Linked DNA regions of Coturnix japonica. Each later gene encodes a partner of the first gene's protein in a complex. Links are inferred from orthologs where the notes say so. Each region holds a gene or a part of one and is shown on either strand. Other genes may lie near its edges.

What was found.
Region 2: the proteins of PRIM2 (region 1) and PRIM1 are in contact, whole or in part, in a crystal structure (PDB 5EXR), measured with the Homo sapiens proteins. The link is inferred for Coturnix japonica from reciprocal best matches to the Homo sapiens genes PRIM2 and PRIM1. Residues at the interface, in NP_000938.2 of Homo sapiens: Glu165, Ala168, Ser169, Pro171, Ser172, Phe188, Ala189, Leu192, Phe195, Arg196, Gly197, Arg198, Val200, Tyr201, Leu202, Glu203, Asp204, Gly205, Phe206; in NP_000937.1 of Homo sapiens: Lys147, Glu148, Asp149, Phe150, Gly151, Phe152, Ala180, Val181, Gly184, Ile185, Glu187, Tyr188, Ser190, Leu191, Lys193, Lys207, Ile208, His209, Pro210, Ile212, Arg213.

What each region holds. Positions count from the first base shown.
Region 1 is NC_029518.1:79,160,781-79,166,631, forward strand, and holds the start of PRIM2 (DNA primase large subunit), read right to left. Parts: upstream 3,363-5,851; coding exon 3,209-3,362; intron 2,349-3,208; coding exon 2,245-2,348; intron 1,968-2,244; coding exon 1,888-1,967; intron 1-1,887. UniProt on the Homo sapiens protein: Regulatory subunit of the DNA primase complex and component of the DNA polymerase alpha complex (also known as the alpha DNA polymerase-primase complex) which play an essential role in the initiation of DNA synthesis.
Region 2 is NC_029544.1:1,685,473-1,691,299, forward strand, and holds the start of PRIM1 (DNA primase small subunit), read left to right. Parts: upstream 1-2,032; 5' UTR 2,033-2,307; coding exon 2,308-2,410; intron 2,411-2,523; coding exon 2,524-2,681; intron 2,682-2,764; coding exon 2,765-2,871; intron 2,872-3,039; coding exon 3,040-3,113; intron 3,114-3,251; coding exon 3,252-3,388; intron 3,389-3,456; coding exon 3,457-3,515; intron 3,516-3,970; coding exon 3,971-4,080; intron 4,081-4,196; coding exon 4,197-4,288; intron 4,289-4,358; coding exon 4,359-4,503; intron 4,504-4,648; coding exon 4,649-4,718; intron 4,719-4,817; coding exon 4,818-4,903; intron 4,904-5,641; coding exon 5,642-5,740; intron 5,741-5,825; coding exon 5,826-5,827. Other genes in the region: retinol dehydrogenase 16-like, read right to left, coding at 344-561, 678-841, 1,130-1,388, 1,459-1,771. UniProt on the Homo sapiens protein: Catalytic subunit of the DNA primase complex and component of the DNA polymerase alpha complex (also known as the alpha DNA polymerase-primase complex - primosome/replisome) which play an essential role in the initiation of DNA synthesis.

The DNA.
Region 1 (5,851 bases):
TTTTCTGTTTGGGAATCTGATGGTCTAATTTAGTATGAAAAAGTAACTCTTACATACACATAAAAAGAAAACCCTACTCATCCCACAAGAAGCGTTAGAAAAAGAGATGTATATTTCACTTCGTAACAGATGCAAGTACTTTAGGAAGACTTCAAAATGCTCCTAAAGATAGCACAGATCACCTTCCACAATTAAATGTCAGCTCAGTTACTGACCCCTTCAGTCAAGGTGTGAAGTCAGAGCATGGGCCAGAATCCTATCTTGCTAGGCAGCCAAAACCAAAAGATTGCAGAAGGTAGAGGAAAGGCCTGCATTTAATAGCTTGTGTTTATGTTGTGTGACAGAATATAAAAAGTAAACTTTCAGTAAGCACAAAAGTGTTTGAAAAGATTTTCACTATTAGAGAAAAGGCAAAGATATTCTCTTCCGTGTTAAACAAGTAACATGAAGTTTATGCCCTCACACTTCTGAAGTTCAGAAGCAGAAATGCATTGTCATGGCCAGCATACAAAACTAAGTTCTCTTTATAGCTGTGCAAGATAATTCTGTTTCCTGGTCTTGCTGGATTTAAGTGACATTAGAGGTATGAATGAAGGGTAAGGATGAACCTGTTCACTCAAGACTGCACAAATCCTACCTTAGGAATGTTACACAAGAGTAAGTTTTAAAGCCTTGGATTTCAGAAGGCAGAAGGACAGTGAAAGGCTATGACTCTATTACCAGCCCAAACAAGGTGCAGCTGATCACTTCATGCCATTTTGCCCATGTACAAACCAGTACAAAGCAAAATCCACATTATCAGAGGTCTGATGCAGAAAAAAGATGATGAAGACTTGCACCACTGGGTGGCACTGTTGGACTGCTAGAAACTTAGGCATAGCAGAACAGGCCTGTCAACACCCCCTCTGCCAAGCAACCAGGAACTGAAATCAAGCAACTTCACAGCTATGTTAAGCAGACTTTTCAAAGATTGCTATCTTAGTTGCTTTCATCACCTAGTGTAGCAATTTGTGCAAATTTTTTCTGACCTAATACAATAAAACCCTGCAGAACTGGGTATTTGACTCACAAATTTATCTTTTGGAGAACATCTGGCTTTAGAGAGTAATATTTCATTTCAAATATTTCATTTCAGAAATAGCCACTTCTCAAGAGAGAACACACACTCACTAGTTTTAACTATAAAACAGGACTGCAATGGCAAGGAGTCAGGATGATGCACAACAAAGCTGTTAATAGACATAAGGCACTGACAACCTGTACAACTTCACCCAGAGCCTATTGCAGAAACAGAACGAAAGCACTTGACAAACTACGTGCCTTAGATTTCACATGACAAAATAAATAAACAAATAAAAATGTAAAAATCAATTACTTTAGAAGAAAATAACAAGCAGTGGAGAAAACCTCAGATTCAGTATTTTTGGTTTCTGAGAAATAAGGCTCTCTTTAGATAGCACCATAAAGCCTATTCACATAACCAGCTTACTCAGGTCATTTGGTCAAGTAAGCAACAGCTGAAATATATGGAGCAGTTCATTTAAATTCTCTGTAATCAGATAAATCAATGACTGACAAAACTGGCTGCCTTTTGATTTCTTTCTTGAAAATAAAGAAAGTGACTTTTATCAATACTCCATATGTACAATCAACAGTTTCTATATTATAAGACTAAAAAAACTATATAATGTGGATATTAATTCTGATCCTGAATATCTCTTATCATCACAGTTGAAATCAGCTTTCCAGAAAAGTAAACCTCTACTTGAACTACCTTTCTGTTTAGTAGCCATACAGATACAGCCCTATGCAATCTATAACAATATGTATACACACATACACTTAAACTTAGTAACAAGACCAAAAAGTAATCCAAAAAGTACTTACGACTGACAGTAAGCAAGGCGCAGTATGAAATGAGAAATATGGTCCTTTCTTCTTGCATCATAATCATCTTCAGCCAAAGCCTACAGAAAATGTTATTAGAAATTAGATTAGAAATCCACAGTTTATCCACCACTGCTGTTTCACATCATATCAATACTTATATCTATAACCTCAAACACAGGACTATTAAAGAGGCAGACTGCCCAAAATAAACATGTATTTTTAAAGACAAAGTTTAAGTTAAAGACAAGCTGCCAGAATACAAGCTTTAGGAATAGTAATTTGTGCAGAATTTCTGAACAGTGTACAGAAAATAGAGTGCAAAAGAAATAGCTGCTTGTTTCTATTTATACTTACTCTGTAGGGAAACTTAAGTTTCCGGAGCTCAGCCTCCAGCTTACTTTTGTACGCATCACCACTTTTTACATAGCTCACACCAAGGTTTTCAACTACCTTGAGCACTGAGGAGAAAAAAAAAAAACATAGTTCATATAGTTAGAACACAGTTAGTTGTAGTCCATATAGTCACAATATGCAGGTAGTGAAGGGATGAAGGGAAATGACTTTAAACTGGAAGAGGGTAGATTCAGACTAGATATTAGGAGGAAATTCTTTACTGTGAAGATGGTGAGACACAGGAACGGGTTGCCCAGAGAGGCTGTGGATGCCCCCTCCCTGGAAGCATTCAGTGCTAGGGGCTTTGAGCAACCTGGTCTAGAGGGAAGTGTCCCTTCCTATAGCAGGAGGTTGGAACTAGAGGATCTTAAAGGTCCCTTCCAACCCAAGCCATTCTATAATTCTATGATAACATATTGAAAAGGAAGCTAACTCTATCATGACTTGAAAAAAGGACTAAATAAAGGCCATGCAAACTCCTGTTAGCAGTATCAGGAGTAAAAGGATAAGAATTTAGAAAGACAAAGCATGGCCCAACTCATCCATAGCCCACAGGACCTATCACAGAATCATTCAGGTTGGAAGAGAACACTGAGATCATCTAGTCCAAACACCAACCCATCAACACCACGCCTACTATGTCAGTCCAACCTGACAGCTCGCCCAGCCCTAAAATCCAGGCAGGGAGCAGAGCAGGGAGAAAGATCAGCCCCAGAGCATCCAGCTGCACTGCAGGGACAGAGACCTGCATTCTGTGGCTCTTTGGGGGCACTGCTCCCAGCCATGACCTCAGTGCCTGCACAGAGACATCCAAGAGAGGCATCCAGAGACCCTGAAAAACAAGGCTATAACCCAATACCACATAATAGCGATTTGTATGCACTTCAGTTGAACTGTGAAATCGCTCAGAGCTCACACTACTCACGCCTCAGGCGGTCGACAGCGAAGCTCTCGAACTCGTTCAGAGAGATGGTCTCGGTGGGGGGCTCCTGGTAGAACTGCAGGCTGTGGGGGTACGGCTCCCGCTTGTCCCCCGCCAGCCTCAGGTGCCGCTGCCGCGCTCTGCTGCTGAACTCCATCTGCAGAGCGGACCGAAGAAAACGAAAAGGGCTGAGGGACGGGGCTGAAGGGTCACACAAGATCCCACCAGCCCCAAGCCAACACCAGGACCCGCTCCGGCTTCCCGCGCAGCGGTCGCCCCGCCTGCTTCCTGCTCGCTAATTTCCGCCCCGCTTTTACCCACAAACAACATGTCGGCTGTGGGCTCTCTAGCCGCCAAAGGCACTCTATGGTAGTTCTCTCAGCACCTGCAGCGGGGAGCCTCTATTACCTGACTCAAATCTCACCATGCAATACCTTGTGAGGGGGCTGCCAGCTCCTTCACGCAGAAATCCTTCTCTTGGGAAGTGGAAACAAAGTAGGGGATAGGTATCTCCGTGGGGGAAAACACCACAACTCAGTAGGTGTCATAACCCAAACTTTCCTACTGACTTACCAAATCAAAACCTATACACAGCAATAGTTCTCACAATACCATTTTACTTACTTTTTTCCCTTTCTATTTTCATCATTTCCACAGCAACGTTACCAGCAGACTCTGATTTTAGAAGTGTTTGTTAGCAGAAACGCTGGTGTTCCAACTACCCACCTGACAAATGTTTTACAACATCCATATGGCCAGCTGTCAAACTGTCCCCACAGCCCCAACTAAGCACAGTCCAATCCAGCATACCTCAAACTCCTACTGTTGTGCTACCGAAATAACAGAACAACAAAGCCCTTGTTTTGCAGTAAACATGATTGAATGTTATCTGTTCCCCTGTTGTTATACCAATTAGCAGTGTCCACAGCACTGCTAATTCTTGGGAGCCCAGTTATTTTCTACTTCGTAAAATATCTGCCATTCAAGTTACACTAAGATATTTTTTCTTCTGACTGTGATAAGCAGATACCTTTGTGTTAACTATAAATAAATGGGAAATGTACTGAGCTGGCCTTTAAACTCCTTCATGTTCCAAAGTGAGCAAAGCATGAATCATGAACTGAAGAGAGGCTCAAGGGGCTATTTTAGTCAGAATACATTCTTGGTCTCTCAGTGTTAATATATTAAAGTAGGGAGTAATGATGGTTGCATCCGTTGTGACATTTTAAATCACTCATCAGGGCTTTAGGTTAAAGGATTGTATCCCCACATTGCCCATCCAAAACTCTAGCACACAGGTGGAGGAAATCTAGATACATCTCACTGTCATCCTAAAGTAATTCTGACAGGTTGCCTTCTCCCTGCATGCGTATTCAGTATGCTTAGGCTGCTATGGTAAACACACTTACCAGCTCTATATTCTGTTATATATCTTATTTTCAGTCCCTTAGCATCATCTTTCAGGGTACTTCCCAAGAAATCATACAATGAATCAAAGAATGGCCTGGGTTGAAAGGGACCACAATGATCAACCCCTCTACTATGTGCAGGGTCACCAACCACTAGACCTCGCTACCCAGAGCCACAGTCAGTCGCTGGGCTGCAAGCAAACACTGCTGGCTCATGTCCAGCTTCTTGTCCACCAGAACCACAAAGTTCTTCTCCACAGGGCTGCTCTCAAGGAGACCTTCCCTCAGTTCCTATAAAGATCTAGGATTTCCCCCACGCTCCAAGTGCAGCACCTCATTGGTCACAAGAACCCCAGGCAACCCTACAGGCGTGGGGAGGAGTGGCTGGAAAGCTGCCTGATGGAAAGAGTCTTCGGTGTACTAATGGACAGTCGGCTGAATATGAGCCAGCAGCGTGCCCAGGTGGCCAAGAAAGCCAATGGCATCCTGGCTTGTATCAGAAATGGTGTGGTGAGCAGGACTAGGGAAGTCATCCTGCCCCTGTACTCAGCATTGGTGAGGCCTCACCCCAAGTACTGTGTTCAGTTTTGGGCACCTCAGTACAAAACGAACACTGAGATGCTGGAGTAGGTCCAAAGAAGGGCAACAAGGCTTGTGAAGGGCCTGGAGAATATGCCATATGAGGAAAGACTGAAGGAACTGGGGCTGTTTAGTCTGGGGAAAAGGAGGCTGAGGGGAGACCTTATTGCTTTCTTCCAATACCTGAAAGTTGCTTACAGTGATAGTGGGGTTGGTCTCTTCTCACTGATAACAGGACAATGGGAAATGGCTTCGAGTTGTGCCAGGGTAAGTTTATGTTGGAGATCAGGAAACACTTCTTTACAGAAAAGGTTGTTAAGCCTTAGAATAGGCTCCCCTGGGAGGTGGTTGAGTCACCATTCCTGGATGTGTTTAAAAACCATTTGGACGTGGTGCTCAGGGACATGATTTAGCAGAGTGTTGTTAGTTAGGGCAGTATGGTTAGGTTGCAGTTGGACTCAATGATCTTTATTAAGGTGTTTTCCAACCTGAATGATAATAGAACCTCATTAGGCTTTCATGGGCCCACTTCTCCAGCCTGTCCAGGTCCCTCTGGATGGCTTCCCTTCCTAGCCATCCTAGGAAGGATCTGCCCTGCCCCTGTGCTAGGCTTTTCTGAAAGGACACCATTCTTATACCATTTTACAAGATGGTCATG
Region 2 (5,827 bases), on another chromosome or scaffold:
ATTGCATGGGAAGGATGCGGTGATGCTGGGTGAGGGCAGAGCAGCAGCGATGGGGCTGAGAGCTGCACAGCGGCACTGGGACCCCATTCACCTGGTTGCCCCCAGCTCCAAGGGATGGCAAAGGGGGCATGTATAGGGTGGGGGCTTGGCAGCACTGTGCCCACTGCTCCCCCATGGGCACAGCCTCAGTGCGCTGCAGAGGGAAGGGGCAGGGCTCAACCACACCATGCAGGGAAGAGGTCAGCTTTATTCAGCAGCAAACATTGCCAGTGCAAAGTGCAGCGCTTTGCTTGCTGCCGTGGGATCTCAGGTGTGGGGCGATGCCAGCTCTGCCCTCACGGCCTCACACTCTCTGGGCAGGTTTGGGGGAGGTCCAGGTGAACAAGGCGTCGGTGATGGCAGAGGGAAAGTAGCTGAGAGGGATGTAGATCAGCTTGGCATCCCAACCAGCTGCATAGCGGCAGCGCGGGTAGCGGCTGGTCAGTGCGTGCTCCATGCAGCCCGTCACCAGCGACAGGTTGGGGTTGCATTTCTTCATCATCTCCCTCATATTTGCCAGGACTGGGGGCAGAGGGAGGGACAGGAGCTGAGATTGTGCCAAAGGGACCGAGAGGCCCCGCTGGGTCCCGGTGCAGCTCAGCACTGAGATGCTGGGTGAGCTTTGGGGATGCACTCACAGTCCTGTAGGTATTTATCCCCATAACTGGCTTTGGTTTCACTGGGCATCCTCTCCCAGGCTCTGAGGAGGCTCTTCTCTAGTTCTGCAGAACCGGTGATGGCTGTTTTGAAGTAACCCGGCTCGATGATGCTCACCTTCACCCCGAAGTGCCTCATCTCAAGCCTGGAAGGCAGCGATGCAATGGGATGGGAGCAGCAAAGGGGGGTGGGCTGAGTGGGGACGGCCTCGCTATGGGGCACAGCAGGGAAACCCAACCACAGAGGGCACCACGAGCAGCCCAGCATGAGGCTGGGATGGTGCACGAGCAAACACTGACCGCAGTGGGACGGGATGGGGTCAGAGCAAACATTGGAGCCGCTCCATGGGACACACAGCGGGGCAAGGTCCGAGTAGCGGGGTCCGACCAGCCCCATAACGCTGCCAGGCAGAGCAGGGGGGAGCAGGACTCACCGCAGACTGTCGGAAAACGCCTCCACGCCGAACTTGGACGGGCAGTAGCCGCCCCCGAAGATGGACAGCCGGCCCACCACGCTGGCCACGTTGACCACGCGGCCCCTCGCCCTCTTGATCAGCGGCAGGAGGCTGAGAGTCACCTCGATCAGCCCCACCAGGTTGACGTTCAGCACCGCCACGAAGTCTTCCTTCCTCAGCCACTCGTTGGGGGCGGAGGGGACGGCGATGCCGGCGTTGTTCACCAGCCCCCACAGCCCTGCAATAGGGCCGGGATGAGCCGAGACCCCCGCTGGGCGCCCACTCCCCACACCCCGACCCCCTCCTACCTCTGTCCCCCACTCGCTCCCGCACCCACGCGGCGGCGGCGGCGATGCTGTCGCTGGACGTGACGTCCAGCAGGACGGTCTGCAGGCGAGACGAGGCGGCCGCCCGCAGCCTCGCGGCCCCGGCCTCGCTCAGGCAGCCCGCCAGCACCCGCAGCCCCCTCGCGTCCAGCTGCCGTGCCAGCAGGCTGCCAAAGCCCGAATCGCAGCCCGTGATCAGCACGAACTTCTCGTCCAGGCCGCCCACCGTCTGCCGCTCCAGGTTCCAACGCCGCAGCAGCCACAGCCCCAGCAGCGCCAGCAGCCACAGCCACATGGTGGGGCGGCAGCAGGAGGAGCACGACGAGGAGGAGGAACGGGACGTGGAGGCGGCCGGGACTCGCGTGGACACGGCACAAAGCGCAGCCCTGAGCTCTGGCTCCGGCCCGTGCCGACCTTGGACCGGCCCAACTCCTCGGGGCCGGTGTGTGTCAGTGCCAACACATCTGAATACGGGGCCGGGCAGCGGCTCAGCCCGTCCTCCCACGTCCCGTGATTTCAATCCCCATCCGTGGCCCCTCGGCTCGTTGGCAAAGCCGCCCCTCGTTGGCACGGGGCTGAGCTGCCCTCGAACCACCACCCAACTTATGGGGGGTCTCAGGGGCTCCGCTCCCGGGACTCGGCCGCTGTTCAAAGCAGGGACGGGGTCGGTGCCGGTGCTGAGCCCCCCCGGGGGTCCCCGTTAACCCGCTCCGGTTCCCCGACGGCCGGCGCTGTCGGAGCGGTTCAGCTCCGTTCCGGGAGGGGTCGCACTACATCTCCCAGCGACCACTCGGTTTCTTTCGGTCCCGCCGTTTCCCTCCGCTTCCCGTCATGGCGCCGTTCGAACCGGCTGCGTTACCGGAGCTTCTCCCGGTGTTCTACCGACGGCTCTTCCCACACGGCGCTTACGGCCGCTGGCTCGGCTACGGCGGCGGTGAGCGAAGGGACCGGGCGGGGTCGGGACGGCGAATCGGTGGGGTCTACATCCCCCCCAACCCCCCCAATCCCCCCAACCCCCCCAACCCGACCCTCTCCGCATCCCCGCAGTGGAGAAGAACTATTTCCAGCTTCGGGAGTTCTCCTTCACGCTGCGGGACGACGTTTACGTGCGGTTCCAGTCGTTCTGCAGCCCGCAGGAGCTGGAGAAGGAGCTGCAAAGGACCAACCCCTATAAGATCGACATCGGGGCCGTATATTCGCATCGCGTTCGTATCCCCCCCCCACTCCCCTTCTTCCACCCCTAAACCCCCCGGTGGCTGCGGGATGTGACCCCTTGTGCTCCCCGCAGCCCAACCAGCACAACACGGTGCACCTCGGGGCGTTCCAACCCGTGGAGAAGGAGCTGGTGTTTGATATCGATATGACCGACTATGATGATGTCCGGACGTGCTGCAGGTCCCTGGGGGGGTTTGGGATGGGGAGGGGGGGGTTGTAGCCCCATAGGGCCCCGTTAGCCATGGGGGGGGTTGGGGATGGGATGGGGGGGGTTGCAGCCCCATAGAGCCCAGTTGGCCGTGGGGGGGGATGCTTGGCACCCATCTGACCGCTGTGCTCTGCCCACAGCTCGGCTGATATCTGCTCCAAGTGTTGGACTCTGATGACCATCGCTGTCCGTGTGATCGACCGTGCACTCGTGGGTGAGGGATGCAGGGATGTGCATTGAGCACGTATCCAGACCCTGCTGTCCATTGTGATGCCTTCAAATGGGTCTGGGGGAGCACTGCTATGGGGCTGGAGTGCCTGGAGTGCTCCCCCAGCCCCACTGTGCCCCATAGAGGACCTGGGCATGAAGCACCGGCTGTGGGTGTACTCAGGAAGGAGAGGTGTCCACTGCTGGGTCTGTGATGACGCCGTACGTAAATGGTCCCCAGCTCTGAGAGCTGCTGCTGTGGAGTATCTGAGCCTGGTCAAGGTGGGTGTATGGAGGGGGGGGGGGTTGTGTTGCCCACCTGGTTGGGCTGAACAATCTGACATTAACAGGGTGGAGCTGAGACGGTGAAGAAGGTGAATCTGTCAGAGCCTGTGCATCCATTCATCAGGTGGGTGGGGATGGGGATGGGGGTGCTCTGCCTGGTGTTGTGCTGATGGTTGTGGGGTGCTGAGCTGATGGTTGTGGGGTGCTGTGCTGATGGTTATGGGGTGTTGAGCTGATGGTTGTGGGGTGCTGTGCTGATGGTTGTGGGGTGCTGAACTGATGGTTGTGGGGTGCTGAGCTGATGGTTGTGGGGTGCTGAGCTGATGGTTNGGTGCTGAGCTGATGGTTGTGGGGTGCTGAGCTGATGGTTATGGGGTGCTGTGCTGATGGTTGTGGGGTGCTGAGCTGATGGTTGTGGGGTGCTGTGCTGATGGTTATGGGGTGTTGTGCTGATGGTTATGGGGTGTTGTGCTGATGGTTATGGGGTGTTGAGCTGATGGTTATGGGGTGCTGAGCTGATGGTTATGGGGTGTTGAGCTGATGGTTATGGGGTTCTGAGCTTCTCCATCTGCTCCTCAGACGCTCAGTGAACGTGGTGGAGAAATACTTCGAGGCGTATGCACTGCAGGGCCAGGACATCCTGGGCAGCCCCGAGCGCTGGGACAAAGTGCTTGCTCTGGTTCCAGACGGTATCCTTCTATCCTTCTCTCCTTCTCTCCTTCTCTCCTTCTCTCCTTCTATCCTTCCATCTGCTGGGCTCAGGGGGGGGTTGTGTTGGCTGTGATGGCCCTTAACAGCCCCGCAGAGCACCGGGAGCTGCTGCACACTGAGTTCCCCAAGAAACGTGACTCGGGGCAGCGCTGGGAGCTGCTCAAGGGCCGCATGGAGAGGACGCGGGTGAGTGGCTATGGGGCAGCTATGGGGCAGCTATGGGGCCGTGCTGCCCCTTGACTACCTGTACCCACAGCGGGCTGCGGGCAGCGGGAAGGGCACGGCGTGTTATGCAGACTGGGAGATCATGCTGCAGTATTGCTTCCCACGGCTCGACATCAACGTCAGCAAAGGCATCGGGCACCTCCTGAAGAGCCCCTTTAGTGTCCACCCCAAAACAGGTGGGTACCCTAAAACAGGGGGGTACCCCAAAGCAGGCGGGTACCCCAAAATGGGGGGGGTGCAGCTGGTTGTGGGGTCAGCACCCTGCTATGGGCACCCCATGCAGCACCTCTCTTCACCTTCCCCTATCTCTGTCCCTTGTAGGTCGCATCTCGGTGCCGCTGGACCTGCAGAGGTTGGATGAGTTCGACCCATTCTCAGTGCCCACCATCAGGTCGGTACATGGGGTCGGTGTGGGGGGAGCCCTGGTTGTGGGTAGCCCCTATTATGAGCAGCCCCCCCCCACCATGTCCTGCATTGTCCTTCCATGCAGCTCGCTGTGCCAGGAGCTGGATGCAGCCGGTGATGATGCAGAGCAGGAGGATGGAGAGGAGACGGAGCCGAAGAGGAGAGTGAGGGGTGAGTGGGGCAGAGGGGTGGGTTAATGTTAATGGCTGGGGGAGGTGGGTTAAGGGCTGGGGGCGGGGTTAAGGGTTGTGGGGGGGTGGATTAATGGCTGGAGAGGTGGTTAAGGGTTGGTGGGTTAATGTTAATGGTTGGGGGGTGGTTAAGGGTTGTGGGGGGGTGAGTTAATGGCTGTGGGGGTGAGTTAGTGGCTGGGGAGGTGGGTTAAGGGCTTGTGGGGGTGGGTTAATGCTGGGGGGGTGGGTTAAGGCCTGGGGGGGGTGGTTAATGTAAAATGGTTGTGGGGGTGGTTAAGGGTTGTGGGGGTTGGGTTGATGGCTGGGGGGTTAAGGGCTGGTGGCTGGGGGTTAAAGGGCTGGAAGGGGTGGTTTAAGGGTTGGGGGGGTGGGTTAGAGAGCTGGGGGGGGTGAGTTAAGGGCTGTGGAGGTGGGTTTAAATAGGCTGGGTGGTGGATTAATGGCTGGGGGGGGTGGGTTAAGGGCTGTGGGGGTGGGTTAATGGTGAGGGGGTGGGTTAAGGGTTTGGGGGTGGGGTTAGGGTTGGGGAGGTGGGCTTAATGAATGGGGGGGGTGGGTTGATAGCTTGGGGGGGGGCGGTTAAGGCTGGGGGGGGGTTAAGGGTTGGGGAGGTGGGTTAATGCTGGGGGGTGGGTTTTAAGGACTGTGGGGGGGGTGGGTTGGGAAAAGTTGATGGGGGTGGGTTCAGTCCCATCTCCCATCCCCCCCCATTCAGATTACCGTCGGACCCAGCTGGCTCCCTACGTAAAAACCTTCGAGCAGTTCCTGGAGGAGATGGAGCGTGAGCGTCGCGGGCAGCGGCTGCGGAGGAACGGTGAGAGCTGGGGGGGCTCCACGTCCAGCTGCTCCTCCATCATCGGATCCTCCATTAAACCCCATTAATTTCTGCTCCTTCCCAGAC